Alligator mississippiensis: one gene and its partners. The protein of the gene in region 2 interacts with the protein of the main gene of each other region in a pairwise test. Links are inferred from orthologs where the notes say so. Each region holds a gene or a part of one and is shown on either strand. Other genes may lie near its edges. The genes, in order: PLEKHF2, MAX, MXI1 and UNC45A.

Region 1 (7,921 bases), on a different chromosome or scaffold from region 2:
GTAAAAACTTAGAACTAGATCCTTAACTGATGTAACTTGGTATAGCTCCACTGAAGCTGTTGAAACTATGCTGATATATAGCAGGTAAAGATTTTGCCCTGAATTTCTGGCACTAAAGCCGAATGAGATGATTCTGTAGATATGCAGGAAGCTGATCTGTTAAGAAAGGTGGTGTCATTTTACATAGTCTGATGTTAGACTTGAAAGACAGTTTACGTCTTGTAAACATGTTCTGTGTTCTGTTTCAGGCTTTTTTTTTAATATAACCAAACTGAAGAATTCTCAGGAAGGAACAACGACACTAGTAGGAGTGGAAAAATAACTCCCACATTTTAAGGAGAAGATCCACAGAAAAAACTGAATGGGAGGTGACTACATTCGTAAACTGAATGTGATGTCTACCCGACTGCCCCCTCCCCAGTGTGCCATGTGCCATGCACAGAGGCTGCCCGTGCCACTTGTGGCACCCATGAAACAGGTTGGCCATCCTTGTTCCAGACCATGAAGTACTTAGGTACTCTATGGAAAGTACTCCAGCCTACTGAATGGCAGCAGTTTGTGTCACTTGTACGTTCTGACCATGAAGAAAACGATGACAAGACCAGGTAGCTAACAGAACCCAAACAGAGAAAACCTCATGCAGCATAACATGCTAGATTTGATGATGTAGGTCTTAGTCCTATGTGTTATGTTCCACTGGGGCCAGGGAAGGAATTATTCCTAAAGTTAACCTCCCATCCCCTGAAAAAACAAAAAATCACATTCACATTTGGAACAGTGGCTTTGTAAACATGAATAATAGTAATAGCCAGGGATCTGGGTTTTCTGTTTTCTGTGGAAAAATGCATATTTTCTCAAAATTGGGAAACCTTGGGTTTTCCCTTGCAGGCTGGCAGAGTTTTAGCCTGCAAGGGGTGGGGGAGTAGGGTTAGGGTTAGGCAGTGTGGTGGAGAGCACCTCCTACAGCTCCCTGCAGGTAAGCCTATGGGAGTGGGGGGTGGGATGGGAGCACAAGTGATGCGTCGGAGGTGGAAGGGCACAGATAATGTGTCCCCCAGATTTCTGTACCCACAGTGAGGCACAGGGCTGCAGTGAGAAGCGGAAGGAGAGGGAGCGCTGTGCAGCCATGGACACCAAGGTGAAGTGCCCCCTGCCCACCCAGCAGCAGTTGGGTGCACAACTCCATGCTGCTGCCCCTGTTTCTTTCCCCACAATGTGTTGTTTGTGTCCACACCCCGCCTTCCCTGCACACTCACCCCCTTCTTCCCATACTGGGGCCTGGGGGGAAGTGGGGTGGGGCACTAGCAGGGCTGGGGGAGCTGTGGGTCGGGAGTGAGGGACACTGGTATGGGCAATGGCAGGGCACCCATATATAAGGGTTGCTCAGAACCACGAAGCAGCAGGTGGGACAGCTGCAGCTGGACTCGTGTTCTGATGAATGAAGGGGGTGGAGCTCTGATTTTCCATGATCAAAAATCCAAAATCAAACACCAAAATATTCAGGTATTTAGAATTTTATTATAATGACTGAGTCACTGGTAGGCTTCCAAATTGCTCTAAAATTGTAAATATATCAATAAAGCATAGTGTTAAACTGATACCTATATGTACCTACATAGGGAGGGTGTGTGTGTGTGTGTAGTGGCATTTAATTTCATCCTAATTGTGGAATAATGCAGATTTTACATTTTTATCAGAGAACTTGGGGTTTTTTATTGGAGAATTTGGGATTTTTTTTAAACAGAGAAAACCAGGATCCCTGCTAATAACACTGAAACCAGGAACTTTAATGGACTAATCGTTCCCTTTTAACTTCTCTCCATTTGATTTTATAATTTGAAATGACCATAGATTAAGGATTTGGGGCTGTTTCCTTTTGCTATTCAAATTAGCTGAACATGACAGCTAGATAATTTAAACCTCACTACAGTTAAATGAAACTTAATGGTTCAAACTGTTGGTGCAGTTTATTTCACAAGCACAGACTTGTACATGCTGATGAGTCAGGAGGCTGTGACACAGAAGTCATACCTTTGTATATCATCATTGTATCACAGGAAAAAATATCAAATCTCTAAACTTTTCACAGGCAACAAAAGCAATTTTAAGACCCATGACATTTCACATCACTTACACAAATACCTTTGTAAAATTCGTGTGGTTCTAAACTTATCCAAATAGATGATAAACCTGAAGCTAATGAATACATCCCCTAGAATAATAAAGGTTGAAAAATATTTCACAAAATTGAAATGGCAATTTAAATTAGAAATATGGGGCTATTCTTTAGGAAACAGGATTTTATTATTTATGTGGTATTTTTGGTATACAGGATACTGTACAACAGATCAGTGTTTCTTAGCTGTTTCAGGTTGGCAAGCCCTTACTCAAAGTGAAAAATCTTCATGACCTGCTGAAACATGTTATAAAAGTAAAAGGTTTATAACATTTATAATAATGATAATTCTTCTGATGAATACTTCTTGTTTTGAATGGTAAAGGTGTGCAAGGAGTAGGGGAACAAGATACTGCTTACTTCTGATGCATAACAGAATTTTCAACACCTTCTGATCACTTTTGTAGGAGTTGCAACCCACCACCTGACCAACACCACCAACCCACCACCTGACCAACAACCACCAACACCACCAACCCAAAACCACCACACTGTAAAAGATCATGGTTTTGTAACTAGGTGGTGCAACTACTTTCCAGACCAGTCACCTTGATCCAGCCTAAATGAGAGCAGCATGTTATATGGAAAAAGTTTAGAGAACTATGTATATAGATGAAGTGTCTTGTACAGTTACCAGATCCTGGATCTGAGAATCTTACAATCCAAAAGGCCTAGCTAGTACAACACAAAATGTGAGTGCTTCTCAGTCTGATTACCTCAGGAAAAGGGGTTCTTTAGAAGTTTTATTGGAGAGGGAATGAGCTTCACATACATTAGATGGAAAGCTATTCTGGGTGGCACCATGCCATAGAAACCTCAGTCAAAAATGGGCAAAACAAAAGATGTGTTAAAAGGCAATCCTGTGGAGGATATGAGGGCATAACATCTTGGAAGATAGTACAAATGCTTACATTTAACAAAACAGAAGCTGACAGGGGAGGATCTGGGGGAGAGCACTGGTGCGCTTGCACCCCACTTTGATTACTGCTCCAGCCAAAGTTTAAAACCACCTGCCTGGCAGTGGCGGCAGTATTTCTAGTCAGGCAGTGCTGAGGGAGTCAATGGACTTCATGGCTCATTATAATCTACCGGATCCTTTCTAAACTCTTCAATCCCCAGCTGTTACCAGCCCTCTTCTTTTTAATGGTCTTCATGTTCCACCAATCAAGCTCTCCTTTGTTCTGCAATTCTGGTCTCTCCACAGCCCTGCAGATTGTATTCAACTCACTCCAACTAAGATATATTTGTTTTTGTTTCTAATAGAAATGGAATCATACAGCCTTAGACCCCTAGTGTCTTAATAATGCTATTTCTTAATGTAGTCTATTTCTAACTGGAGAAAAATTGTGTTATATGTGATGATGCACCTCACCATCTGCACACCCCTTTTCAAAATCCTAGAGCTTGCCACGGAAGCTGCCATAAGACATGCAGCAAAGAGGAAAGAGGGTGAGGTGAGCAACGGATGCCCAGCAAGTTTCACCCACGATAATCCATTTCTCTTCGGCAATTGGAAGTGATCAAAGCCGTCCCCTGAGGCCGTATCAGGCACTTGGGGCTCAGCTCCAGCAGGCCTTTTGATGCTATGCTGTTCCAGAACGTGGGACACAGCCAACGGAGCAGAGCTAGAAGCCCCCACTCAATGAGGATGGCCACTAAGGACATGTCAGTGACCGCTTGGGACAACCAAGACAAAACAGCGATGGGGGTGAGGGTCACAGGTTCAAAACGAGTGCAGCCAGTGGGGACAGGGAGCAGAGGACACCGGACAGTGCCTACAGGCCCCTGAACTAGTTGAAGGAGCCAGTGGACACTGCCTGGAGAACAGAGGAGGGATGGGAAAGCGAGGTGATACTTCCCCTCTGTGCAGCACTGGTCAGGCTGCAGCTGGAGCATTGTGTCCAGTTCTGGACACTGCACTTCAAGAGGGATGCGGATAACCTTGAGAGGGTCCAGAGGGCCACTGGTATGGTTAGGGGCCTGCAGGTAAGATCCTATGAGGAGAGATTGTGGGACCTTGAATCTCTTCAGCCTCCACAAGAGACAGCTGAGAGGGGACCTTGTGGCTGCCTAGAAGTTCACTGGGAGGGGCAGCAAGGAATAGGGGATACTCAAGTTTGCCCAGGCACCCCTTGGGGTTACTAGGAACAACAGCCACAAACTGATGGGGAGCAGATGTAGATTAGACAACAGGAAAAAATTCTTTATGGTGAGGGTTGCCAAAATCTGTGATGGGCTCCCAAGGGAGGTGGTGCTTCACCAAGAGCTCAGGGGGTCTTGAAGAGGAGGCTGCACAAGCACCTGGCTGGGGTTGTGTGAGCCCTGCGCGCTTTCCTGCCCAGGCCGGGGTCGGACTCCATGATCTCCTGAGGTCCCCTCCGACCCTACAGCTATGAAAGTGGCGCTGCAGGCCTGGGGGGTCCTCCCTCCCTCCAGCCTGGTCAGGTGTACCGTGGCCAGGGCCAGGTGGCCCAGGAGGGCCTGGGGGTGCATAAAGGCGCAGGCAGCCAGTAGGGCTGCAGGGAGCCGGACACCCTCCCGCAGGCCATCTCCCCAGCCGGGCCGGGCCGGGCGAACCGCGCTGCGCCCCACACAGGCAAGGCCCCGCGGGCGGACACGGCCTCCCCGCGCCCGGGGAGAGCAGCCGCGCGGGGAGGCGGCCCTGCCCCAGCCTCCCCAAGATGGCGCCGGCCCCTCCCCTGCGCCCGGCCGGGCGGGGCCTGCAGCCAGTCCCAGAGTGGGAGCCCGGCGGGGCGGGGTCGGCTCGGCTGCCCGAGCGGGGAGCGGAGCGGGGAGCGGCGCGGCAGGACGGGCCGGGCCGGGTGAGTGTGGTCGCTCGCGCGGGACAAACTTTGGCTGGCGGCGCCGTCCCTGCGCGGGCTCCGCGGCCATGTCGGGAGCCCCCGGGGCCGTGGCCGTGGCTGCCTCTGCCGGGCCCTGCGCCCCGTGGCCAGGCGGCCGAGGCTCAGGCCCCGCCCCGCCCCGGGGAGCCGCTCGGGAGGAAAAGGCTCCTCTCCCTCCCGGCCTTCAGGCAGCCCCGCTCGGTCCTTCGCCTTCCCCTTCTGGTCCCGGGCCGGGCAGCGGCGATGGGGAGCCGTGGCCTGCAGCTCCCCGTGCCCAAGCCCCGGCCGTACTGAGCAGCCCGGCTGCTGACTCCGCGTCCCCGCTTTGTGCGGTCTGTAGCCCGGGACAGGCCGGGCTGGAGGAGTCGCAGCAGGAGCAAACTGCTGGTGGCTGGGGTGGGTCGGGCCCGGCCCGGGGTGGCGGAGCCCAGCGCGGGCGGGCGGGCGGCGGGAAACGCCTTCACTCGAGGTCGGGCTGAACGGATGAGTTGGGAACGGGGGAGTGACATTTCCAACAGACCCGAGTAACGCGAGGTTGGTTCGAGCATGGCACGGCACGGCACGGCACGGCACAGCTCGGCTCGCCGCTTCCTCCTGGCTTCCGAGTGAGAGAGAAATCCAGCGGTAGCTAAACTTTCAGGTCACTTGGAGAAGTTTGTGGGGCGTTAACAGAGTTATTTTTAGGAATCTGGGGGCTTTCTTCCTACAGTAGACGGTGAGGATTGCGTTGCTGCCTGGCTTCGCTGTATGAGCTCTGTAGTGCTTGCCTGTGTCAGTAGTACCAGCGACTGGCATCTAGCTCTGAATTAAGCCTTTCATTTTAAAACTGTTTAATCTAAATATTACATTTTAATAAGCAAGGAGCTGTTAAGGAGATTAGTGCAAAGTGAGAGTCTTGTTTCCACTGTAATAGCTCACTTTACACTCCAGCTCAACTCATTTTCCAGGTGTCTGAGGTGTTTCAAGCAGTACAGATATTGGCTGTAAATATCATTCAGAGAAAGTCCAGCAGCCTAGGACATGGTGACTCTGAAACCCTATCATCTTTGTTGGCCCCAGATTCCTGGCTCTTGCATACAAAATATATCTCGGGGCTTTGGAAGCTTTGAGGAGGTTGCTGCTGTATATGAAAGTAGATGGATGGAGTTGCTTGAATTATAAATGTAATACTGATGTGTAGAGGCTTGAGGCAGGAGTGGAAGCTGCTGCTGCTGCTTCCTTCATGTCATTCAGAGTTAAATAGATGAGTATCTTTTTTTGTAAAGATGTACCTAACAGTCTGAAATTAGAGGGGAAACACATTTTGTGAAGAGGGATTAATTTTGTTTTTTAAATTATAGGCTGCGGACTGGGACATAAATTCAGGGCTTGCTACTTTCTTCTGCATTTTTCAACCTGCTCCAGCTTCCAGATTCCCAGCTGTGTATTAACTAATTCTGTTGATAATCACTTTAATGGTTATATTCAGATGTTTTGGTAGGCCTTTAATGGAGGTGAAAAATGCATAGGACTTGATTGTTTTGTATCAGTCTTGTCTGGACAGCAGTTTGGGTGCCTTCACTGAAGACATAAAATTGTTTCGGGCTGTGCTTATGGTAGAGCATGCAAAACGGGCTCTTTTGTGCACTCTGGTCACAATTATCTTCACAGCTGTGAAGGCTAGATACTCGAAGTTGAAGTAGAGCATGTAGATAATAACAGAGATGATTCGAGTATGTTGAAGAAAATATGCCTGTTGACTAAAATATTTGAAATGCTGTGTAGTTGTAATTCTGACACTTGGTCAAATACATTAACTGGGCTCTCAGTATTAGGGTAATGCTGAGTTAGTTAAACTAATGGGCTGCTAGTATGTATTAATGAAGACAAGTAAAGAAACTTCAGGGTTGGCTTCAGCCAGACATGTTTGCTTACATCTAAAATATTCTCTGAAAGATGTCTTGCTTGTGCGAAAGAAGAGAAACCAAAAATAAAAACTGAGCAGTACTCTAAATAAGTTTTGTTCTACAGCAATGGGCTAGCTAGTTTTTAATAGACTTCAGTATATTTAATATTCAAGTTTTATTTTAGTTCACATGATTTGTAATACCAGTTGTCACTTCCAAATATGGCATTTGTGTGTGCTGGTAAATTTAATGGTTTAACTTAATTTTTAAAATGTAATATATATTTTTGTTTGAAAAGGTAAATTATGCAAAATATGTTTTTAAAATGTAATCATAAGTTTTAAAAAGCTTGTCCTTCCCTAATCAAATATAAAGTTGCTTTTGTTCCAAGGGATTTAGTTCAGCACTTATTTTTGTAGTGGTGGGAGTGAAGTGGATAGAGAAACTTATCTGTAGACATGTATGGAAGATCATGTTTATAAAAGCATTAAAATACTCTTCAGTGTGGTAAAACAAGTGATGACAGCTGCTGTAGCAAGTTGAGTCCTGCAGATTGCTAATTTGAGAAGTTCTGCTAAAGGAATTGGGGCTGCTTGTGTGAATAAGACTTGCTTTACAGTTTACAGACAGTCATGAATTATACTGCTGCGTACTTATTTTGGCTCTTAATTTTTTTTACAGTTAGGTCAGAGTTCATAAAGTTGCTACAATATAAATACCTTGGATCTTATGGTGTGTCTTTGCATACATACTACTGTAGGTAAAAACAAAACTTGATAGTAACTTAAGAATTTTAAAAATTATTTTTGAAGTTCAAATATTTCATTTTATAGGATTGTTAGTCACTTGCTTCAATTACTATTTTCTTTGTTCTAAATAATAAGCCAGGTAGGTTTATTTATCATATATGCAGTTCAAAGTACTTTATGCATTTTGTATAAATGAATTAAACAGTGAAATTAGTGGACTTTAAATACTGGAACTTTTTTTTCCCTAAAATATAGTAACCCTAGGAG
Region 2 (6,932 bases):
GTGTCACAGTCTAGGCAATCCCTACAAATTAAACAATCAAGCAGGTGGCCTGAGAAATACCAAACTCTGCAAATGAATACCAGCTCTTGAAAAGCAGCTCCCTGGGAGCCCGTGGTCAAACACTGTGGCCCCGTCACCCAACAAGCCAGCCTTATTCACCAGCATTTGGACTTTGCAACCTAGATTATCTAGACTGGAGGTTTTTGGAAGTGCTGGAGGAGAGCAGCACCACAATTGCTCTGAGGCTGGGGACACAGAGGAATGTATCAGCCAAACTAGAACACTCAGAATCTAAAACCGACTCAAACTGGTTCTAAACTTGGTGTCCCCCTATAACTCACTGAAAATCAACCTGCCCAAATGAAGAGAATTCCTCCACTTCCTATATATTTGAACTGCTGCCAATAGCACAGGACATTGCTGTGTCTGCACCATGATGAGTCTTAAGCAGAAGAAAACCTTTTACTTGAGGGCACGGATCAAGGGGATGCAACACGTGCATGCTCGCTCTGGGATTCCATAGAAAACTGCAGGCCTTGGCACATGCTTGGTCCCGCCTGGCAGCCTGCCACAAGGAAAGGCAGACTTCAGAAAGGGCTCCTGCTTGTGGTCAGCAATCCCACGAGCCCAGGATCTCAGCACAGCAGCTCCCAATATGCACCTGGGTCCCCCAACCTCAGAGATGGACCCTTGCACAAACCCTCACCATTCGTGGCACCCAACCCTGCTCCACGTCCAAAACTCACACCACCTGCTTCTTACAACAGCTGCAATTCCCCTATAGTCTCAGCTGACAGTCTACAGCAGCCTCTCCCCTCAAAACAGCGAACACATAGCAAGAAAGAGTAGACACAGCCTACAGCACACTGCCAGTCCTGCTCCATACCTAACCTCCAGCGTGGCCCATGCACACCACTCCCTCCCCGACTCACTTTCATGCCTTGCCTCAATCAATCCCAAGAGTTAATCCCACCACACATTGTCCTACCCTAGATCCACTACAACATACAATCCAGTCCACATGCATCCCAACAGACCAACCTGACTTAAGCCTACTCCCACAACTCTTCCCGTTGCAGCCTACCCCTGCATGTGCCCCACAACACTCACCCCACCACCACTGCTCTATCCCACTCAAACACAGCTGGCCCCTTCACCTAGAAACAATCTGCACCCTGATGTACAGGGACAATCCCAGCCCAAAATATTTCCCTCCCCACCCCAGATCCCTGCCTATACATACCTGGCCTAGACCATCCTCCCCCCAACCTCTTCCCATATTCAAACCTGGCAGCGCCCATTTCCCCCCACAACCCTGGCCTAGCCCCTTTTGATGTCAGCCCATCCCTACACCAAGCTGAGACCATTTTGCCAATGGGTGACTGGTGCCACCTTAGTGAGGGGGGCACGTGGCCCCCCCCAGCGACAAGTCAGTGACCTGTCACAAAGCCAAGGTCTGGAACGGGCTCCCAAGGGAGGTGGTGCTCTCCCCTACCCTGGGGGTCTTCAAGAGGAGGTTAGATGAGTATCTAGCTGGGGTCATCTAGACCCAGCACTCTTTCCTGCTTATGCAGGGGGTCAGACTCAATGATCTATTGAGGTCCCTTCCAACCCTAACATCTATGAATCTATGAAAAAGCAGCTGCGGTGCTCCTAGAAGCAGGGGGGGGGGGAGCCCTCTGTGGTGTCACCCCCAGCGACCTGAGCGGCGAGTGCAGCCAGTCAGGGGGTGCACCAGCACTCACACGGGATGCACGTGCACCCACTACGCATCACCCATAATTTGGCCTCAACTTGGGTCACCGCATGCCTCACTGAGACCACTGCCCCCACTATCCCTGCCCATGCATAGACACAGCTTAGATTGCTCTGCTGCCTCCTACCCACATACACATTTGGCACAGACCATTCCCCCTCAGCACCTGCATTACTGGTTAAGATCAGTACATGCCCACCTGCACACCACCTCTTGCCCCCATCCTGTGCTGGGCTGAGACCACTCACATGCCAGGCGAGATTGCTTCCATCTGACCTCTGCCCCCCGCCACCAGGCCCAACCCAGAGCATTGCACCCCCCCTCAATCTCTGCCCAGATGTTTCCAGCACACATCCTCCCTCCCAGCACATAAATGCATCCTACTAGACCATTCTCTGCAGCTCACCCATCTGCCCTGGCCCACGCATGCCTGCCTGTCCTTGGTCCCTCTGCCCCAAGCACGCTTGCTCTTGTCACACACAAGCAGCAAGGATCCCAGCCTGTCACATGTCCTGCCCAGCTTAGCCCCCCTAGCACAAACAGATGTGCGCCGTCCCACCCAATAGGAAGACGTGCACTCTGCAGGCGAGGGTCTCCCCAAGCATCGCACACCTGTGCCTGCATCTGCCAGTCTGGTCTGCCCCACGTGCCCCAGCTGGTTCACCCTGGCGGGACTCCCACGCACACGGCACCCGGTGCCTTGTGCAGCCCACGCCAGTGCCCACCCGCAGCTGGACCCACCCCACGGCCCTCCCTGCCCGCGGCCGCGCCTCCCCCGCCCCCGCCGGTCGGCCCATGCAGACGCGCGGCCGTGGCGCCGCGCACAGACGCCGGGTCTAGGGCGAGGCCCCCGCCGCCCCGGCCCCTCCCCACCCCGGGCGGCGGCGCTGCTGGGCCGGGCCGGGCCGGCGGGAAGCAAGGAAAGGCACGTACCGCAGACTGAAACCTCGGCTGCTCCTCCTGCAAGGAGAGAGAGACAGAGAAACACACGCGTTACTGCGCCGCCGCCCGCCCGCCCGCCCGCCCGCGGCACTGCCAAGCCGAGCCGGGCCGGGCCGGGCCAGACCAGACCGAGCCGACGGGGTGGGGGGGGTGCGGCACTCACGTCGCTCTCCACCTCGATGTCATCGTTGTCGCTCATACTGCCGGGCCGGGCCTGCGGGCGCTGCGAGCCGAGCCGAGCCGAGCCGAGCGGGGCCACGGGCAGCACAACAACAGCAGCCGCAGCAGCCGCCCGCACCGCGCAGCCGCCGCCGCCCCGCGGCCGCCCCTGCTCCGCGGGGGCCGCTGGGGGATGGAGTTCGGGCCGCCCGGCCGCCACCGGCGCCCGCCCCCGCCGAACTACCACTCCCGGAGGCCCCCGCGCAGCCCGGTCCCTGCCAGCGCCCCCGCGCGCCTGCGCAGTGGTGGGCGCGGTGCATGCTGGGGGCTGCAGTCCCGGCGAAGGAGGAAGGACTCCGCTTCCCAGCAGCCGGGGAAGGACACGTGGATGGGGCGGCGCGGCCCTGCTTCCGCTCGGGGGGGGAAGGCGTCGTACGGGTCCTCACTCCCTCCCTCGCAGCTCCGAGCCCTGCCCCGGGCGCGCGGGGGACAAGCCTCCTGCATAAGAGGCGGGTGCAGGCGGAGGGAGAGCGCACAGGCCCCTCCGAACAGATACTCGGGAACCAGCGCCTCGCGTTCAAGAGTTGTGAAAGACTTGGCCGAGAACCCCTACGCGCCCTTCCTACTCACTCACGGCGTGCGGGCGGGAACAGCGGCACACACCGCCTGCCCTGCCGGAGCGGAGGCCGCGGTGGGCTGCCCACTGCGGGGAGCCCCGCGCACGTCTGGGGGCACGTGCCCCCTGCCCGGGACTAAGCGGCGGCGAGTTGCGGCCGCACATGCCCCCCAGACTGACCTGCATGCGGGAAGCAGCAGCTCTCGCCTCGCACGCGGCTGCCTCCGGCCCGGCCTTGTGCAGGGCTGTGCGCAGTCACGTGGCGCCTGCGCGTCCGCCCCCAGCAGGCCCCGCGGGCTGCAAGCTGCTGGACAGCGCCCTTTCCCGCCCTGAACGAAGCACCTGCCGCCCGGGTCGGGGACTGGAGGTTTCTAGATTGGGACTTTCTCTTCCGACGAGGGGCGGGTGATCACTGCTTACTAGCGGCATGTCAGGTGTTCATCAGGTTGAAGGGGGCAGGCCTGGGTGATGGTGGGTAACAGTGGTGGTGAGCAAAATCCTGGGATGCCCTTGGCAAAGATGGCAGCTTAGGGCATGGGCGACTGGTGCCTCCCCAGGCGGGGGCAGGGAGCACTTAGCGCAACAGCAGCCAGTCAATGATCAAGGGGGTCCCCCCGTGGCTGATCACACCAATCCAGAAGTGCTGTGCTGCTGGCACTTCCGGGTCGCGCAACACTTCTGGATCAGCGGGGTGGGCTGTGGTCAGCACGATGGACCGTGGGAGGACTGCAGGGATTGCTTCTCCTGGCACCCCCACTCCCCAGCTGGCGCTCTCAGGGCGGACACCAGCGCTCTTGCCTGCCCCACCTGCCCATCACCTAAGCAAGGAGTTGCGCATTTGGTTGGCCAAGTTAACTGTGCTACCAGAACAGGCTTCTCTAACATTTCATGTTATGATTGAAAAAGAGCGTTGTCCACTGTTGGTATTAGAGCTGCACCAATACATCAGTCCAGTATCGGATTGGCACCGATATAAAGAAAACTGACTGTATTGGAAATTGGCTTGATGTAGCCAATTAATGCTCTGTGCGTGCCCACAGCCACAGCACAGCATGTAGGTAACAAGGAGCACAGCTCAGTAGCAAGGAAAGCTGCGTGTAGCTGGTAAGTCTGTTGTAGTGGAAGGGGCATGGGCAGATCAAGGCCCCCATGGTGAGGGAGGGAGTGGGGCTGCAGCAGGTGCTGCCCAGCTGGGGCAGGGTGGGGTGTGGGACACAGCTGGGGCTCGGGGGTGCAAGGATGGGGGAGCTGCTCCCACCACTGCATGCACCCCAGGAGGGCATGGGGGGGGGCTTGTGGCCCCCTGATCAGGGCAGGCTGCAGCTGTGGGCTGGGGCCAGGGCTGCACCGGGCTCTTCCCAGTGGGGACTGGGCTAGGCTGCACTCAGGGTGGGCAGTGTTGCTGGGAGGGGGGTTGAGTGGCTATGACAAATTTTGGGGTGGCTGCAGCTCCGCCCATCCACCATAGCTGCCATTGCCTAGCCCAGCCCTTGCTGGGAAAAGCCCAGCACAACCCCGGCCCGCAGCTGCAGCCCACTCTGCCCGGCCCCACACAGATCCAGGGGCACGTGCTCCCCATGCCCTCCCAGGGTGTGTGCAGCAGCAGGAGCTGCCCCCACCCCCCCTTCCTGTACCTCCCAGATGAGCTATGACTCCCATCCCGCACCCTGCCCTGCCCCAGCCCCACTCTCTCCCTCCCTCACCACAGGGGCCTTGATCTGCCCCTCCATGCCCATTCCCTCCCCACTCCCCCTTCCACCACAACAGACTTAGCAGCTGGACCCGGCTCTTCAAGCTGCCTGGCTGCGTATTGGAAATTGGATTGGTATCGGCCGATATGCCTCCTTAAAAATCGGCTATCAGTACCGGCCCCAAAAAGGTCCATCAGTGCACCCCTAGTTGCTATGGTCAGCATGGCATGGACCCAGGACTGACTTGGCAGAGGCCACACGCAGGGCTGGACTAATCCTTTAGTGTTCCTTACGCAAACAAACTCGTGAGCCCCAGGTTGGTTGAGATCATAGCCACGGCAAAGCAGGCAGAGGGGAGGGGAAGGGAGGCAGATGGGGCCGTTTGTGCTGCTGCCGTAGAGGAAAGGACCAAGGCCCCTGCAGCCCAGGGCCCTAGGCATGTGCCTAGTATGTGTTAATCCGGCCCTGATCACACAAGTCTTTGTCAATGGCAGGGCCAGAAGAGAACACCTGCAATTGTAGAAACCATTTCCATGGGGAGTGTTTCTCAGGGTTCCTGTGAGTCAGACTCAACTCAGCAGCCTGTGTGGTAAGAGATAGTCACCCTTCAGGCCTTTTATTCTGCTTCCAAATAGATTGGCGTAGCACAGGTTCCATGTCACAGTCACTCTCCCTTTGTCCCAGCCAAGGTATTCTGAGAATCCCATCTCCTCCCTTGGGATTGTGCTGCCTGGCCATCACTGGGCCAGTAACTCCTGTTACTTGCTCTGGCCCAGCTTTTGCTGGCTTATATGAGATCCAAGTGATCTCCTAGGCATCACCTCAACCCTATCTTCTCTGCATCTGCTGGGGGCCAGGTAGCTAGTCACAAGTGGGATGAGGCCCAAGTCCTTTCAAGTGCCAGCTGTCCTGTGCCCAAAATCCATCTGCAGCCCAGGGTAGAAGTAGAAGCATACAGACAGATGCCACCAAGCTGTGCAGAGTAGAAGCAGGTCAGCTCTGCAACATCATCCGTATCATTTCATAGCTTAGTTAAGGCCGCAAATTATGTATCTGGGGGAGCTGAGCTGGCTGGGGAGTGCATCCTGGATGGCAATGATGCTGAGATAGGATCAGATAACCTCAGGGGCGGGTCTGGGATTTGGCAAAGTGGGGTTCAGGAGCAGCCAGCTGAGCACCCCCCACTCCCAGATTCCACTCCCACAACCCACCTGTTGGGGAAACAGCACTGCAGGAGCCTCTGGGAGCATTTTAAAGGTCCCAGAGCAGGTGAGCATCCCCCAAACTCTCCTTCTCTTCTTCCCCCTCCAATCATGCTGCCTTCCCTGCTGTTGGGGTGGGGGTGGGGGTGGGGGAAAGCTTCAGAGCTGCTCTTGCCCACTCCTGCAGGGCTGTGCAGGGGCTGGGCTTAGCTGAGAACAGCAGTTAGAATGGGGGGGGGGGGTCCAATTTCCCAGACCCCACAAGAGCAGGGGAAGGAAGCTGCTGTTGCTGTCACTGCCCTAGGTGAGCCCAGCCCTCTCCCATACCCCAACAGTCCAGTTGGAGTAGACAGGAACAGCTCTGAAGTTTCCCCCACCCCCAGAACAACAAGGAAATGCAGCAGTAACTGGCTGCTTTCCCCAGACTGGCTCTAGCAGCACTGTCCAGGCCAAAAGGGGGTGGTGGGATGTAGCCACCCCACTGCACTCCCTCTGTATCTGCCCCTGAATAACCTCTGAATGGTATCTGATGGGGCAGCTGGGACCCAAGCATGACTGTTGGGTGT
Region 3 (7,821 bases), on a different chromosome or scaffold from region 2:
AACCCCTTTCGGTGCTGAGAAGCTCTTTCCTTTTGAAGTTCAAACAAACAGAGTAAAATCGGTGAAGATATTCTCCAGGTTAAGGACTGTGTTTCATAGTTTCACAGCTGGTCGGGTCAGAAGGGACCTGAGCAGATCATCTAGTCTGACCCCCTGCCATGGCAGGAAAGAGTACTGGGGTCAAACGACCCCAGCAAGGTGTTCATCCAGCTTCCTCTTAAAGACCCCCAGGGCAGGAGCCAGCACCACTTCTCTTGGAAGTTGGTTCCAGGCCCTAGCCGCCCTGACTGTGAAGTGGCGCCTCCTGATATCTAGCCTGAATCTACCCTCTGCCAGCTTGTGACTGGTATTTCTAGTCACTCCTGGGAGTGCTCAGGGGAACAGGGACTCCCCCAATGCCTGCTGGTCCCCCCTGACTGGTTTGTAGACGGCCACCAGATCCCCTCTCAGCCTTCTCTTGTGGAGGCTGAACAGGTTCAGGTCCAGTAGACTCTCCTCGTAGGGCCTGCCCTGCTGCCCCCCGATCATGCGGGTGGCCCTCCTCTGGACCCTCTCCATGCTGTCCACATCCCTCCTGAAGTGTGGCGCCCAGAACTGGACGCAGTACTCCACCTGCGGCCTGACCAGTGTTGCGTAGAGGGGGAGGATCACCTCCTTGGACCTGCTTGAGATGCATCTGTGGGTGCACGACAAGGTGCGGTTGGCCTTCCTGACCGCATCCCCACACTGCTGGCCCACGTTCATTTTGGCATCAATGAGGACTCCAAGATCCTTTTCTGCCTCTGCACTGATGAGAAGGGAGTTCCCCAGCCTGTAGGCATGCCTGCTGGTTCTTCCTCCCCAGGTGCAGCACCTTGCACTTGTCAGTGTTGAAACCCATCCTGTTCTCATCTGCCCACCCCTGTAACCTGTCCAGGTCTGATTGCAGCCTATTCCTCCCTTCTAGCATGCCCACATCCCCCCACATCTTAGTGTCATCTGTGAATTTGAACAGGGTGCTTTTTATTGCCTCATCCAAGTCGCCGATGAAGATGTTGAACAGTGCGGGCCCGAGCACCGAGCCCTGGGGGACCCCACTGCCCACATCCCTCGAGGTTGAAAATGACCCGTCCACCACCACTCTCTGGGTGCGGCCCTCCAGCCAGTTAGTGATCCATTTGACTGTGTAGGTGTCGACACCACAATCCCCTAGGTTTTTAATGAGACTAGGTGAGAGAGTGTCAAAGGCCTTCCTAAAGTCCAGAAACACTACGTCCACCGAGACACCTGCGTCCAAGGATTTTGTGACCTGGTCATAGAAGGCCACCAGGTTGGTCTGACAGGACCTGCCTCGAATGAACCCATGTTGGTTGCCCCCAAGCATAACCTCCCCTGCCGGCCCCACGTGGACATGCGCCAGGATAATTCTCTCCAAAAGTTTACCTAGGATCGAGGTAAGACTGACTGGCCTATGGTTCCCTGAGTCCTCCTTCCTCCCTTTTTTGAAACTGGGAACCACATTGGCCCTTTTCCAGTCCTCCGGCACCACACCAGAGCACCACGAGTGCTCGTAATGCCGAGCCAGGGGTCCCGCAATGACCTCCGCTCATTCCCTCAGCGCTCTGGGGTGGAGGTCGCCAGGACCAGCTGTGTTGCATTCACCTGCGTGTGATTCAGTCTCTGGCTGATGTGATTCATGCTGAAACCCAGTGGCCATAATTTTGGGCTCCTCCTTGCTGTCCTGGTCATTCTGCAATTAGAAAGCAGGCGTCTCCGGGACCGATAGTTTCACGAGGCTGGTTGACAGGGTGCACGTGTGAAGCAGGGGCTGCGTCATCTCGGTTAGCTGGGGCCATAAATTAAATAAAACTCCGTTTCAAACACTGCTCAGAGATGTTTAACACCATCTGGGAGACGCGTTTCACCTCTCGTCTTGGTTGGTGATGTTCATGTCTACTTCTTCACTCCTGACCAGGCCCTTTCGTCCAAACTAAAATCTATCCCTGGCCTCCTGGCACCTCTTTGTGGATGTCCGGTCCGCAGCTCACAGCAAAAATGGGCAAAAGGAGCTCTTTATATCTCTCTTCCCCTTGCATCCACTTTCTCGAGTGTCTGACATCCTTCTGGCATTGGGGTGTCAGCTTCGACGCAGTCCTTTCTTCCCGTCCTGGTGAATTCTTCTTGTTCCATGTGACTAAGATCCAGCTTTTCTTCTCCATCCACAAGCTAGAGCTTCATCCAGACTTTCATTATCTTATTACTTCTTCTTTACTGTGACCTCTCCCTCTCCAGTCATCACAAATGCAACCAGGTGCCTTTTGGTTCCCATTCAAAATGCTGGAACAAGGGTTATTTTCCTGGTTCAGGGCTGCTCAGGGTCACCTTCACTTTGCATCTCTTCAATGGCTCCCTCTCCACCACGTCCTCGCACACAAACCGCATGTCTTCACTGTCCAAACCCACTCTGGACTTTCTCCTGTGCCTGTATAGCACTTGGTCCAGCTGGTATCCACAGGGGCTCCTAGGTGCCCATGATAATAAATGATAATAATCAGATGAGTAGAAGGCATAGCTGTATGTAAATCAGAAATTGGAGGAGACCAGTGGGATGGTATCATTTGGATCACTCGAGTGCAGAATTGCACCTCATCGCATAGCCTGTTCTCCAGTACTCGGGCCAGTTTTACACGATCCTTCAGTGATTCTGTGCTGTTCCAGGGAGTCCTTAATACATAGTAAGAATGTCTAAAAATTGCTCCCATTGAAGCAAGCATCTACGTTTAATCAGTGGAACAACTTGCTTGCGTCTGGGCAGGTGTTTGCACGTGCACCCTGCTGTATCGGGGCCAAAGCAAGCAGAGCTTCGTTCAGCAGTTTGCTCCGCAGCGCTCAGGACTGCTACCAGGTGCATCAGTGAGGCCCGAGAGCACAACGGTAGTGGTTCTCATCTCGGGCTGTCGAGCACCTGCACAAAATCAAGCCCTTCCACTGAGGGCAGGTCTCAAGTCGGGCAGCTGAGAATCGATCCCAATATCCCCACTGAAAGTGCAGATGGAGGGATTCTCCCATTGACATGCAAACTTCCACCCGCGGCCCAGGTCCTCAGAAACATGGTGTTCCTAGTTTAGCCCTGCTTGCATACGTGACCTAACCCCAGCAAGATGGGAGGGAAGCGTTCTCCAATCTCGGGGTGTGATGGCCTGGAGTCTGGGTGTGTCAGCAGAGGGATGGAGGGAGGAACAATTTGGAGATCACCCATCTGTTTGATCTGTTCTGGCTCGCAGACCATGCTTTACAAGAATTAGCGGCTGGATTACAGCTCGGAAAAGGGAGCAGGCCCAGGTCAGAACTGTCTTCTGAAGGGATGAGTCATTTTGTTTGTGGATCACACCCGCAGAGACACCCATTTCTTTTGACAATGGAAATGATCGTTGGGGGCAGGTGCACTGCTGCAATCTCGGTTGCTTCCTGCTCCACCCAAACTATCAAACCAACTGCCCAGGAGTGGAGCAGCATTTCTATTCGGGCAGCAGCGAAGGACTCGGTTGACTCCACGGCTCATTACACTCCTGATTCTTTCATCCCACAGATATGAATGCCCCTCTCTCCTTTGAAAGGCCTTGATGTTCGGCTAATCAGATCCGCTTTTCTTCTGTGTCTCTGCTGCTTGGTATCTGTATGCGGTAATGCATAGCCCTGCAGATTGTTTTGAACCCTAGCTAAAATCAGCTCAAGGGTGGAAGTAACTGTCCGTGATGCACTGGATGCAGAGTCAAGATGCTCAAAGCAGGCTTTTGTTTTAGAGGTGCACTTCGTTCAAATCAGCGCAAGACTAACGAAACAATGTATTTGGGTTATTTTTGCTTCGTTTGCTGTGTTTTTATGCATAATACACGACACAGCAAACTAATGCCCATTCCAATACATTTCTATTTCTTTTGTGCTCCAATCATAAACTGAATAATAATGATTAATACAGCCCTAGCTTATCACTAAGGCTTCTTGTTTCTTTTTAATTTGATAAAAATATGTGCTGTGTTACATGTGACGATGCACCACACCATATACACCCCCCTTTCTGAAATCCTAGATCCACCCATATGTTCATTATTCACCTTTTTCTTCTAGTTTGGTAACACTGAGCAGCATCTCCATGAGGCCCCACGGCAGTGGGTTGTGTACGAGCCTCTCTCGATTTGCAACGCAGGCACCTCTAGGATGGAAGATGCGTAGCCGAGATGCAGCTTGGGGTTGTGCCGTGAGGTTTTCACCTCGTTGGCGATGTCTGCACCTGTGCACTTGTGTTTGGTCACGGGTATCGACTGCTTTCTGCCCCCAGATGGGGTGCAAATTGTCACTTCTGTCTGCACCCTCTGTGATGGGGAACTTTGGATCAAGGCAAATCCCAGCTTTTATGAGAAATGGCTGAGGCTCCGGGGCCCGTGGCGTTCATGGTTGCAGCGGCACCTTGACCCCCCCCCCACCCCAAAACGAACAGCGTCTATTCCAGGCTCCCAGTACACACGTAGGGACGACAGGCAAAGACCTGCAATCTCCATCCCCAAAGAGGAGGAACAGGGAGGCTTGGGGTTGTTTTTTTAGGTCTCATCAGACTGTCTGAAGTGTTGCACCCGGTACTTTGCCAGGAGAAATATTTGCTCTGTTTCCTATAAGACTATAATGCTTGCAGAAGGCGTCCCTGCTGCGTCCAGATCCCGATACGTTTAGGTGGCAGGAACAAAAACCACCCGGCAGTTGAAAAACGAGCCCGACCTCTACAGGGCTCCAGGAGAGGGGGTGGCGGGGGGAGCCAAAACCATGAGACAGCAGGTTTTCATCTGCCCCCTCCACCTGGCAGCCCGGTGCACACGCGGCACCGGCAGCAACAACTCGGGGAAAGAAAGAAAAGAAAAGAAAAGAAAAGGAACAAGTGGGGTTGTTCTGCCAGCGCTGTCCGAGGGGCTGCCTGCGTCCTCCCGGGCCAGCGAGGAGGCGCAGCTCCCTCTTCCCGTTCACCTTGCGCTGTGAGCAGGCTCAGGAGCGCTAGGACCGCGGCGCCGCCTCGCAGGCGGGCAGGCAGGACGGACGGACGGACGCCTCTTGATTCATTCACTCCGCTCCGCGCACACGCGCACGCACACCACTGCGACCGGGGCAGCCGCGCTCGGAGCCCATGGGGAAGCGGGGCCGGCCGAGGAAGGAGCTGCGGGGCGAGGAGGAGGAGGAGGGCGGCTCGGGGCCGGCGGCCGAGGGCTGGCTGCCCCGCTGCCCGCTCGGGGACATCTGCAACACCCGGGAGGCGTCTCGCGAGCAGCTCGGCACTTTCCTGCACAACGTGCAGCTGCTGCTGGAGGCCGCCAGCTACCTGGAGCAGATCGAGAAGGAGAATAAAAGTAAGCGGCGGCGGCGGCGGGGGAGATAGATGGGGGGGGGCGCGCGGCCCCGTTCTGAAGCGGTCTAAGCACGTCTGTGTGCGCCGCGGCGCGTCGTGCGGCCGCCCCCGCGCTCCCACGGCGGGCTTTCGGGGGCAGCGGAGCGCGGGGCATCCTCGGGGGGTGTTTTTGGAGGTGTTGCAGGAGGGAGACGAATGCATGCCCCCCCCCCATGATGGATGCAATGAGGCTTTGTTGGTGCTTGTACCGCGCACGGCAGTGTCCGGGGGGGGGGAACGCTCCCCTCCGGTGCCCCCTCCCCTCCCCTCCCCTTCCAGCGCCAGGCCCCGCCCCCCAACAGCGGCCACATGGCTTCCACATGGAGACGGGTTCCTGCGCTCCCATTGGCCCGGCCGCGCGGGGGGGGCGTGGCGGCTCGGCCAATCGCGGGCGCCCGCAGCCCCCTGCCTGACGTCACGCGTTGCTGAGCCCGGAGCGGAGGGGGCGGCTGTTGGGGTGGGATGATGTCATGGTGCTTCTTAAAGGGGCCGCGCGGCGCAGTCCTGGGGAAGGGGGGGGTTGTCCTGAGTGTGCAAACTGGGTGCACGGGTGTGCACCGGCCGGGGGGAGGGGAATCTACTGGGAATATCCTGGTGTGAACTGGGCATATGCTGCCTGGGGGCAGTACGCTGGGTGTACGCTAGGAATGCACTGGCTGGGGGGGGTATATACTGGGTATGGACTGGGAATATACTGGAGGGGGGAATATGCTGGGCATGTACTAGGAGGGCACTGGCTGGGGGGTGTATACTGGGCATGAACTGGGGTACGCTGGCTGGGGGCGACGTGCTGAGTATAGACCAAGAGTACACTGGCCTGGGGGGGCGGGGGGGGATACACATTGCAGCGTACTGGCTGGGTATATACTAGGAATTTACTGGTGAGGGTGTGTACTGGGCACAAACTGGGAACACGCTGGGTGTATGCTGGGACTGTGCGGGCCCTGGGGGAGGGGGCCGACACGGACGTCATTTTTTTGCGGACAGCGAGTGAAACAATCGCGGTCGTGAGAGTCCTGCCCCGATGCGATTCTTTTCCCCTAAGAATCAAACTCGAGTCCTTTTGTTTTTCCCCGTCTTTGCGGGAAGCTTTGCAGCGCTCTGCTCTGCTTTCCATTCGTTTTTGTGCCGAAGGCTCGAGATGCTTGTGAATGGCACGGTGCACATTAATTACCGTATATCTTTGTGGGCAGGGAGCTCCCCTGATTAGCAGCTGCACGGTTACCATGCAGTTCTGAATAGAGGATGCCCTTGTTTAGCAGGCGCAGCTTTATCTGCCCGAGCTGCGAGAGAAAACGATCGCGTTTCAGAGAAGCTGCCCTTCTGTCAAAGCCGTGGGGGGGATTAATTGAAAGCCATGGCTTCTCTGTGCTGAGATGCACGTCGGCTAGTCATAAATACACGGATGGAGCGTGCATTCATGTTTTTAAAAGTTCAATTAATTAACTTGTATTTTCTTACATTTGCATGATGCTGTTGTACTCGCTGTCTCCAGAGACCAAAGCATTTGGCTCTATAAACAATTTAGATGTCGGTGAGAAGAGAGGAAAAATGACACGCGATACCTTGCAGAAATAACGACCTTATTTTTAAAACCACTAACAGCGATCGAGTCTGCTACTGCTGCATTTTTTTTTTTAAAAGAATCTGGTCTTAAAAGGATCAGAGAGGTTTAAAACCAAGGTTTTCTTTTTGTTTAGGCTCAGAACACCAGCGTTATGTGTAGGGGTTTTTTTAAATAATTGCTGCCAAATTTCTTGCTCGGTTTTTGCATTGCAATAAGCTTGGACCGTGAAGACGGACGGGTCTGTTTCACTTTCTAAACCGTGTGCGCTGCTGCTTGGATTTATGGTGCAAAATCCCACAAAGGGAACATGTCCATCTAAACAGCCCTCTTCCGCACTCCCTGTCTTCCTTGCAACTATTATAATGCTTTAAGAAAGAAAATCTGTTCATAGCAGGTTTGGCAAAACTTTCCATTTTTATTTCTAAAAACAGCACAAGGCCTGCACATGCGGTTCAAATGCGCGGTATTGCAGAGCTGTATCCATCTCATGCTGCCTTGCATTTGTAGTTCAAAATACGATCATCGTAAAACAGCTGGATAGTGCCATGCGAGCATGTTGCTCCCAAACAAAGGAAAAAGGCTACCTGGATTGGAAGATGATCTGCCAGCGTTACAGGCCCCGGGCATCTACTAGGGAAAGATCTGTCTCAAAGTATATTCTCATTCCTAGTGGATGGAGATTTACATCTTCAACTCAGATTATTATAGCAAAAGGGTACCGTGCCCTTTAGCCTCTCAGACAGAGCAGGAACTATTGCACCATTCTCCCTTTAGAGGCCAGCTGACAAAGACATCAATAACATCTGCACCCTTATCTTTGCAGCCTGGAAGTGCTTGTTAGCAA
Region 4 (7,045 bases), on a different chromosome or scaffold from region 2:
CGGCACGTGCCTGCTGTCACAGGCCAGCCCTGCCGGCTCTCGCAGGCCAGCTGGAGGTGATCTTGGACCGGCGGCTTGTGCAGGACGACAACCGCGGGCTGGGCCAGGGGCTGAAGGACAACAAACGGACGTGGAGCCGCTTCCGGCTCCTGCTGGAGCGCCGCACCACGGCCAACAAGGTCAGGGGCTCATGGGGGCGGGGAGGGGGCAACCCCGCTGGTCCAGGCCCTGGAGAAGCAGGGCTGAGGCGGGAGGGAGGGAGCATCAGCGCGGCACAAGTTCCCTCCCCTCCCTGCACCCAGCGGTGCACACCCTGCACCGGGCTGCGTGGCTCCGGGGCGGGCGCGTGGGGAGGTGCCCAGCTGGCCGTGTCTGGGCCCGGTGCCGGGTGGCTCCTTGTGACCTGGCTCTTCTCGTCCCGCCCCGCCGCCTCCCACCCCTACCCACACCCCCAGCGCTCCGGCTTCTTGTCCAAGCTGGCCTCCGTGTTTAGAGACCTGGCCGCCCTGGGCACCAGTGCTGGCAGCCAAGAGGTAACGGGCGCCTGCCCCTGCCCTGCGCCCGTCCCGTGTGCTAGCCGCTGGTATCCGTAGCGTAGCGCGGGCCCTACCGCTCACCTGTAGCCAGCTGGTAGTCAGCACTAGAGTAGCCCGGGGGTCCTGGCTGGGGCGCCAGGGGTGGCAACGGGGGCTGGGGTGCCAGTGCCCCATGGCAGCCCTGCCCCACATCCTCCAGCCCAGGTCTGCCTGGGGGATGGGGTGTTATTCCCCAGGCCAGGTTGGGGGCAGGGAGCTACAGACCAGTTCTGGGCAGAGCTCCCACCCCTGCTGGTCAGCCCCTGCCCCGTGGCTTGGACCAGAGCAAGAGACACCCCCCGCCCGTGGCAAGGCCTGGCAAGATGCCCTGTGTGCTGGGTCCTGGTGGCTCCAGCGTGCTCACCGCGTGGCTCGCTGCGGTGCAGGTGCAGGACAGCCGCCCCACCAGCTTCCCCTCGCTGCTGAGCCATGCCACCTCCATGCACCTCAACGCCGAGGTCCTGGTGATGCCTGTGGCCCAGGAGAAGACGGCGCTGCCTGCCCTGCGCTCCTTCCTGCCCCTGGCCGGCACGGTGCCCTGCGACTTCCACATCCTCAACCTCCGCACGCTGCAGGCCGAGGTGAGCGCCGGCTGCCCAGCACCAAGTCCGGCCCGCTGGGCACGGGCAGGGACAGGGTGGAGGGGCCTCTGCTCCTGGGGGCTGGTGCCCCAACCGGTCCTGCCCCATGGCAGCTCTGCGGCAATTGCATCTGCTTCCCCAGGACGACTCGCTGCCCTCAGCTGAGGCCGCCCTGATCCTGCACCGCAAGGGCTTCGACTGTGGGCTGGAGGCCAAGAACCTGGGCTTCAACTGCACCACCAGCCAGGGCAAGGTAGGGGCAGAGGCAGCGCTGGCTCTGGCGCCATCCCGCTCTCCCTGGCCTGGCGCCTGCCTGCCCTGGTGCTCTGCTCCCTGTGGGCAGCGCTGGGCTCTCAGGGCACTGGCTGGCAGTGGTGTGGGGCGGCTTTGGGTCACGTGCAGGGCTGCGGAGATGGCGCTGGTTTTGAGGGCCTGGGACATGGCATGCGAGGTCTGACCCTGCTGCAACTGCTGTGGGGCCACCCACTGCAACCCGGAGCAGCTCCCTGCACACGGGTGGTGGCCAGGGCCACGGGAGGTGTGGGCTATGCCGGGGGCTGTGCCCCCCTCTCAGCCAACGTCTCCCCCCTGCAGCTGGTGCTGGGGAGCCTGTTCCAGGGGCTGGAGCTGGGCTCTCTCCAGCCCACCTCACTGACACTGATGTACCCGCTGGGCACCGCCTCCGCCAACAACACTGTGATCCACCTGGAGCCCATGGAAATCGCCACCTTCCGCCTCCGCTTCGGATAGGCCCTGCCACGGAGCGCGAGCGGCCCCGGGCACGGCAGGGCCCCGCTGGGGGCACGGGTGACTCCCGGGCAGCAGGAGATCTGGCCGGGCTGCCGCACGAGGGCAGCTGGACTCGTAGACCCGTGGCTGCTGTTTGTGACTCTGCGCCCCAGCTCATCCGGAAGGGGCAGAGGCACGGCTGTGCCGGGCGGGACCGGCAGGCATCGCTGTCCAGCGGCTGCCTGCGCCTGGGTGCGACGGATGGACCCCGTGCTTGGACTGGGGCAGGCACGGTGGCTCCCGGGGCAGGAGCGCAGCGGTGGCAGGACCCTGCTGCCCCAGCAGGGAGGTGTGACGTGTCTCCGGCACCTCCCAGCCCCAGGAGCAGATGCTGGAGCCTGCTGGGCTGGGGCGAGGCCCGGACTCTGCCCCCCAGCGTGGTGCAGCGCTGCCCCCGGGGCAGGACGGGCTGCCAGCTGGGGCGGTGATGGACTGCACGGGGCAGAGACTGAGTTGGCCGAGCACATCATGAGCTTCTAGGAAACAAGCGCCCTGTGTCCATGTGCCTCCATGCGCCCGGGGGCTCTCGCGGGCCAGGCCTGCCTGGGCACGAGCCGGGCAGGATGGGGAGCATTTAGCCCAGCTGGGGGTCTCTGCCCCGTCCCTCCCCACGCCGGGCGGGTTTGTGCCGCATCTCCTGGTGCCTTTAACCAGGTGTCAGGGGCATCCCCGACTGGCCGGCCGGCCCTGGGTCCCTAGGCTGGCACCGGGGCTGGGGCCACGTGTGAGCTTCTGGTGCTTTCCTCCCCCCCCGCACCTCCCTCTGGTTGCTACGGGCACCGGTGTCGCTGAACCCCCCCGGACCAATTACTGCCCCCCGAGGGGCCGCGCTGCGCCCGGATGCAGGGCTGGGCCCAGCCGGTCTCAGCCTGACGCCAGGCCAAGCTCCCTCCTGGCCCCGGCCGGGTCCCTCGGCACCGGGGCAGGGCGGGGGAGGCCTGGCCGCGGCCGCGCGGGTCGGGTCGGGCCGGGCAGCAGCGCAGCGGGCCCAGGGTGGGGGGGGTGCAGCGGCCGGCCGTGCGGGCTGGGGGCCGGATGCGGGCGTAGGGCGAGCAGCCGCCCCAGTGCCGCTTGCGGGCGCCGGCGGCGGGCCGTGCCCGTGCCCGTGCCCGTGCCGACCCGTGCGGCGGCCCCTCGGCGTGTGCGGCCCTCCCGGGTGCCCTCCGCGGCGGGCAGTGACGCGACGCGACGCGACGCGGGCGGGAAGGAAGGGGCAGCCGCGTGCCCCCAGGCGCCTGCGGGGGCGGTGCGGGGGTCGTGGGCTCCTGCCCCCAGCGGCTGCTAACGGAGGCCCTGGGGCCAGGCCGGGGCACCGGGCCCCACGCGGGGTGCTGAGCCCCTCGCCCCGCCCCGCCCGTGCTGCGCTGCGCTGCGCTGCGCTGCCCCGGCCGGGCGGGCGGGCGGGCGGTCCCGGGGGGCTCGTTAGCGCCCGCGATGCTGCTGCCTCCGGGCCGGTCCCGGCGGGGCGAGGCGAGGCGAGGCGAGGCGCGTCGCCGTGTGCGGCCGCCGAGCGCGAGATGCTGCTGGCCGGGGTCGTGCTGGGGCTGGGGCTGCTCCTCGCCGCAGGTAGGCAGGCGCCCCCGAGCCCGCTGCCCCTGCCCCGGCCGCGCTCCCGGGGCCACCCCGCCGTGCGCCCTGCCCCCGGGTGACCCCGGCCCGGCCCGGCCCGCAGCCCGAGCCCGCGGCCCGCACCTGTGCGAGGGTTACGCCGGGCCCGACGGCCGCGCCCACGCCGGCTTCGCCTGCCCGCGCCTCTCGGACAGCGCCGAGCTCCGCTTCTGCTGCCGCCCGCGCCCCGCCGCGCTCAAGTCCTGCTGCGCCCGCCCGCCCGGCCCCGGCCCCGGCCCCGGCCCCCGCAACGCCACCCGCGCGCCCGGCCCCGCCGCGCTCCGGTGAGCCCCGGGGGGGGGGGAGTGGGGGGGCGGCCGTCGTTCGGCTCCCGAGTGAACGCCCCGCCCCGCTCCGCCCCGCCCCCAGGAGCGCGCTGGCGCAGGCGGCCGTGGCGCTCTACGGGCTGCTCGTGGCGGCGCTCGTTGTGGCGGACGCGCTGCACCGCCGCCGCCGCCAGCACAGGTAGGATCCACGCCCCGCCCCCCGCCCGCCCGGCCACGCCCCTGGGCGGAGTCGGAGGCCATGGCGTCATCGGGGGCGGGGCCGGCGGCGGGAGCGGCGCGGACGGGAGTCGCCATGGAAGAGCCGGTGAGCGCGACCCCCCCTTGCCCCTTGCCCCGCCCTCTCTGCCACGTGACCCCAGCCCACGGGGGTCCCACGGCCCCTGCCCCACGTGACCCTGGCCCCATCTCTCGGGGGGGTCCCCAAGGCCCCCACGTGACCCCGCCCCCGCCCTGGGGGCCCCATGGTCCTCCCCTGGCACAGTGACCCCTGACCCTCGTCACCCCTGCTGCCCCCCCTCCTCCCCCAGGGCTCTGCCCACAGCCCGGCCGTGCCCCCCCCACAGTGCCCCATCCCCATGGGCCCACCCTCCCACCGCCAGGGGTGCGGGTACCCCCCGGGGCGGGGGTGGGGGTGCTCCCCGGGGGCAGGGTTACTCCCGGGGGTGGGGGTGCTCCCCAGGGCCAGGGTCCCCCCCCGGGGTGGGGGTGCCCCCGGGGTGCCCAGCCCGCGCTGCCCCTGAGGCCGGCCGTGCCGCAGGCGGTGCCGGGGCAGCTGCGGGCGCAGGGCAACGAGCTGTTCCAGGCCGGGGACTACGAGGCGGCGCTGGCCGCCTACACGCGGGCGCTGGGCCTGTGCGACCGGGCGCCGGAGCGCGCCGTGCTGCACCGCAACCGCGCCGCCTGCCACCTCAAGCTGGTGAGACCGCGGGGGCGGGTGTGCGGGGCAGGGCGGGGCGGCACAGGTTTGCACACGCACATGCACGCACGCCAGCCTGCCCGGCCCATCCCAGCCCAGCCTTCGCGCCGCGCCCCGACGCGGGGGCTGGAGGCAGCGCCGGGTGGCCGCGGAGCCATCTGGCTGCCCCTGGCAGCGCGCCGCGGGTCCGTTCCTGAGCCCCGGGGCCCGTTAACGCGCCGCAGGGAAGGGCAGCGGGGTCCGGGTGCCTGGGGCCACAGCCCGGCCGGTGCTGGGTCACGAGGAGCGAGCGAGCCCCCGTGCGCCGCGCCCCGGCTGCCTGGGGCTCCCTCCAGGATGGGGCCCGCGGGCTCCGATGTCCCCGGGGCTCGTTGCTGCCCTCTGGCGCCAGCGAGCTCCTGCCCCCGCGCAGGGCGCAGCACACACGGCTCGTGCTGACTGAGCGCGTGCGCGGTGGTGACTCCTCTCTGCCGCCTGTCTCGCCGGGGGGGGGAAAGGGGCAGCGCTGTGGCCCCCCAGCTGCAGGCACTGTCAGAATCTGGGCCAGGATCGGGGCTGGCGAGACCCCGGGTCCAGCACTGCGGCACACGGATCGGCCTCCCTCACCCGCGTCTGTCCTTGCAGGAGGATTATCTCCAAGCAGAAGCCGATGCATCTAAAGGTACCGGCGGGCTGGGCAGGGGCCAGGCCAGTGCGGGCGCCATCCGCCGGGGCTCCGGCCCCCTGACGCTCCTCTCCCCCATGCTCAGCCATCGAGGCGGACGGGCGTGACGTGAAGGCGCTGTTCCGCCGCAGCCAGGCGCTGCGGCAGCTGGGCCGGCTGGACCAGGCCGCCCAGGACCTGCAGCGCTGCGTGAGCCTGGAGCCCCGGAACAAGGCCTTCCAGGAGGCGCTGCGCGACCTGGGCAGCAGCGTGCAGGAGAAGGTGGAGCCCCCCACCCTGCCCCTCGCCCCTGGGCCAGCCGCAGCCCCTGCTGCGTGTTGGAGCCCGTCCGTCCCCCCTGACTTGCTCATCCATCTGTCCCAGATGAAGGCCATGTCCTGCACGGACTCCAAAGTGCAGCAGATGTTCCAGATCCTGCTGGACCCCGAGGAGAAGGACGCGGACAAGAGGCAGAAGGTGCGTGGGGAAGGAGGGGGGCTAGCTTGGCTGGGGGCAGGGGCTCTGGGAGGGCGAGTGGGGGTCACACACAAGCCGTGGTGCTGAGAGGCCGCCAAGGCCCTGGGTGCGGAGCCTCTGAGCTGTGCAGAAAGCGGCTGCTTGAGGCCCCGAAGGGGGCGGCTGTGGCAAGGCCCTGCCGGGGTGCCCGATGCATTGGGGCCTGGGTGACGGCTGGTCCTGGCTCCTCTGCAGGGGCACAAGTGCCGGTGGGGTGGGGCACGGGCGCTGGCACCTGGCCGTGACTCTTGCTCCCTCGCAGGCTGCGCAGAACCTGATCGTGCTGGCGCGCGAGGAGCCGGGGGCGGAGAAGATCTTCCAGAGCGATGGCGTGCGCCTGCTGCAGCAGTTGCTGGAGGCGGGCGAGGCTGACACCATGCTGGCCGCCCTGCGCACCCTGGTCGGTCTCTGCTCTGGCCACCGCTCCCGGGTAGGGCCGTGCGCCACACCGCGCTCCCCCATCCCGTCAGCCGTGCCAGGGGGAGGGCTCCCGCAGCAGGGGTGTGGCTGACCCAGCGGCTGCAGCCCAGCTGGGACCAGTGTCTCGCCAGCAAGGCCTCTCTGCTCTCCTGAATGCTGGGGGCTGCCCCCCAGCCGTGATGGGCACGAGGTGCTGGGGCCAGGAGTGTGGAGGTGCTAGGGCCAGGGGTGTGGCAACAAGAAGCCGCACATTGACATGGGGCTGGGGCTGGGCACCTGGGGCTCCCCTGGCAGCAACCGTCCCTGTGCCCGCAGACCACGGCCATCCTGGCGGAGCTGGGGCCGCCGCGCCTCTCAGGGCTGCTGGGCGCGGAGCATGAGCAGGTCTCGCTGGCGGCCTGCAACCTGCTGCAGGTCATGATCGACGCGCTCAAGGAGGGGCTGCAGCGGGACGTGCGTGGCAAGGAGGACGCCCTTGTGCTGGGTGAGCGGCGGGTGCCTCTGTGGGCACAGCAGGGGAAGTGGGCACCCCTCCTGGCACCTCATGTCGTAGCCCAGCCTTCTGCTGTGGGGCCTGCACCCTGTGTCCCCAGGATCTGGTTCCTGCTGAGGGGGGCAAGAGGCAGGCGTGGCTGGGGTGCTGCTGGCAGCCTTGGGGGCTGGGTTGTGAAAGAGCTGCATGCCCCGGTGCCCAGCTGGCAGGGGTGGGG

What was found.
Region 1: the proteins of MAX (region 2) and PLEKHF2 interact in binary tests that used the Homo sapiens proteins (3 or more experiments, as listed by UniProt). The two-hybrid records come from large-scale screens. The link is inferred for Alligator mississippiensis from reciprocal best matches to the Homo sapiens genes MAX and PLEKHF2.
Region 3: the proteins of MAX (region 2) and MXI1 interact in binary tests that used the Homo sapiens proteins (3 or more experiments, as listed by UniProt). The link is inferred for Alligator mississippiensis from reciprocal best matches to the Homo sapiens genes MAX and MXI1.
Region 4: the proteins of MAX (region 2) and UNC45A interact in binary tests that used the Homo sapiens proteins (3 or more experiments, as listed by UniProt). The two-hybrid records come from large-scale screens. The link is inferred for Alligator mississippiensis from reciprocal best matches to the Homo sapiens genes MAX and UNC45A.

Annotation. Positions count from the first base shown.
Region 1 is NC_081826.1:42,918,823-42,926,743, reverse strand, and holds the start of PLEKHF2 (pleckstrin homology domain-containing family F member 2), read left to right. Parts: upstream 1-4,904; 5' UTR 4,905-4,998; intron 4,999-5,486; exon of another isoform or gene 5,487-5,659; intron 5,660-5,712; exon of another isoform or gene 5,713-5,734; intron 5,735-7,921. UniProt on the Homo sapiens protein: May play a role in early endosome fusion upstream of RAB5, hence regulating receptor trafficking and fluid-phase transport. Enhances cellular sensitivity to TNF-induced apoptosis.
Region 2 is NC_081825.1:171,679,942-171,686,873, forward strand, and holds the start of MAX (protein max), read right to left. Parts: upstream 3,002-6,932; 5' UTR 2,898-3,001; coding exon 2,862-2,897; intron 2,717-2,861; coding exon 2,690-2,716; intron 1-2,689. UniProt on the Homo sapiens protein: Transcription regulator. Forms a sequence-specific DNA-binding protein complex with MYC or MAD which recognizes the core sequence 5'-CAC[GA]TG-3'. The MYC:MAX complex is a transcriptional activator, whereas the MAD:MAX complex is a repressor.
Region 3 is NC_081829.1:95,203,090-95,210,910, reverse strand, and holds the start of MXI1 (max-interacting protein 1), read left to right. Parts: upstream 1-4,810; 5' UTR 4,811-5,152; coding exon 5,153-5,372; intron 5,373-7,821. UniProt on the Homo sapiens protein: Transcriptional repressor. MXI1 binds with MAX to form a sequence-specific DNA-binding protein complex which recognizes the core sequence 5'-CAC[GA]TG-3'. MXI1 thus antagonizes MYC transcriptional activity by competing for MAX.
Region 4 is NC_081834.1:786,288-793,332, forward strand, and holds the start of UNC45A (protein unc-45 homolog A), read left to right. Parts: upstream 1-4,035; 5' UTR 4,036-4,078; coding exon 4,079-4,144; intron 4,145-4,597; coding exon 4,598-4,756; intron 4,757-5,380; coding exon 5,381-5,417; intron 5,418-5,505; coding exon 5,506-5,681; intron 5,682-5,783; coding exon 5,784-5,876; intron 5,877-6,177; coding exon 6,178-6,345; intron 6,346-6,650; coding exon 6,651-6,819; intron 6,820-7,045. Other genes in the region: MAN2A2 (alpha-mannosidase 2x), read left to right, coding at 46-179, 962-1,156, 1,299-1,409, 1,751-1,906.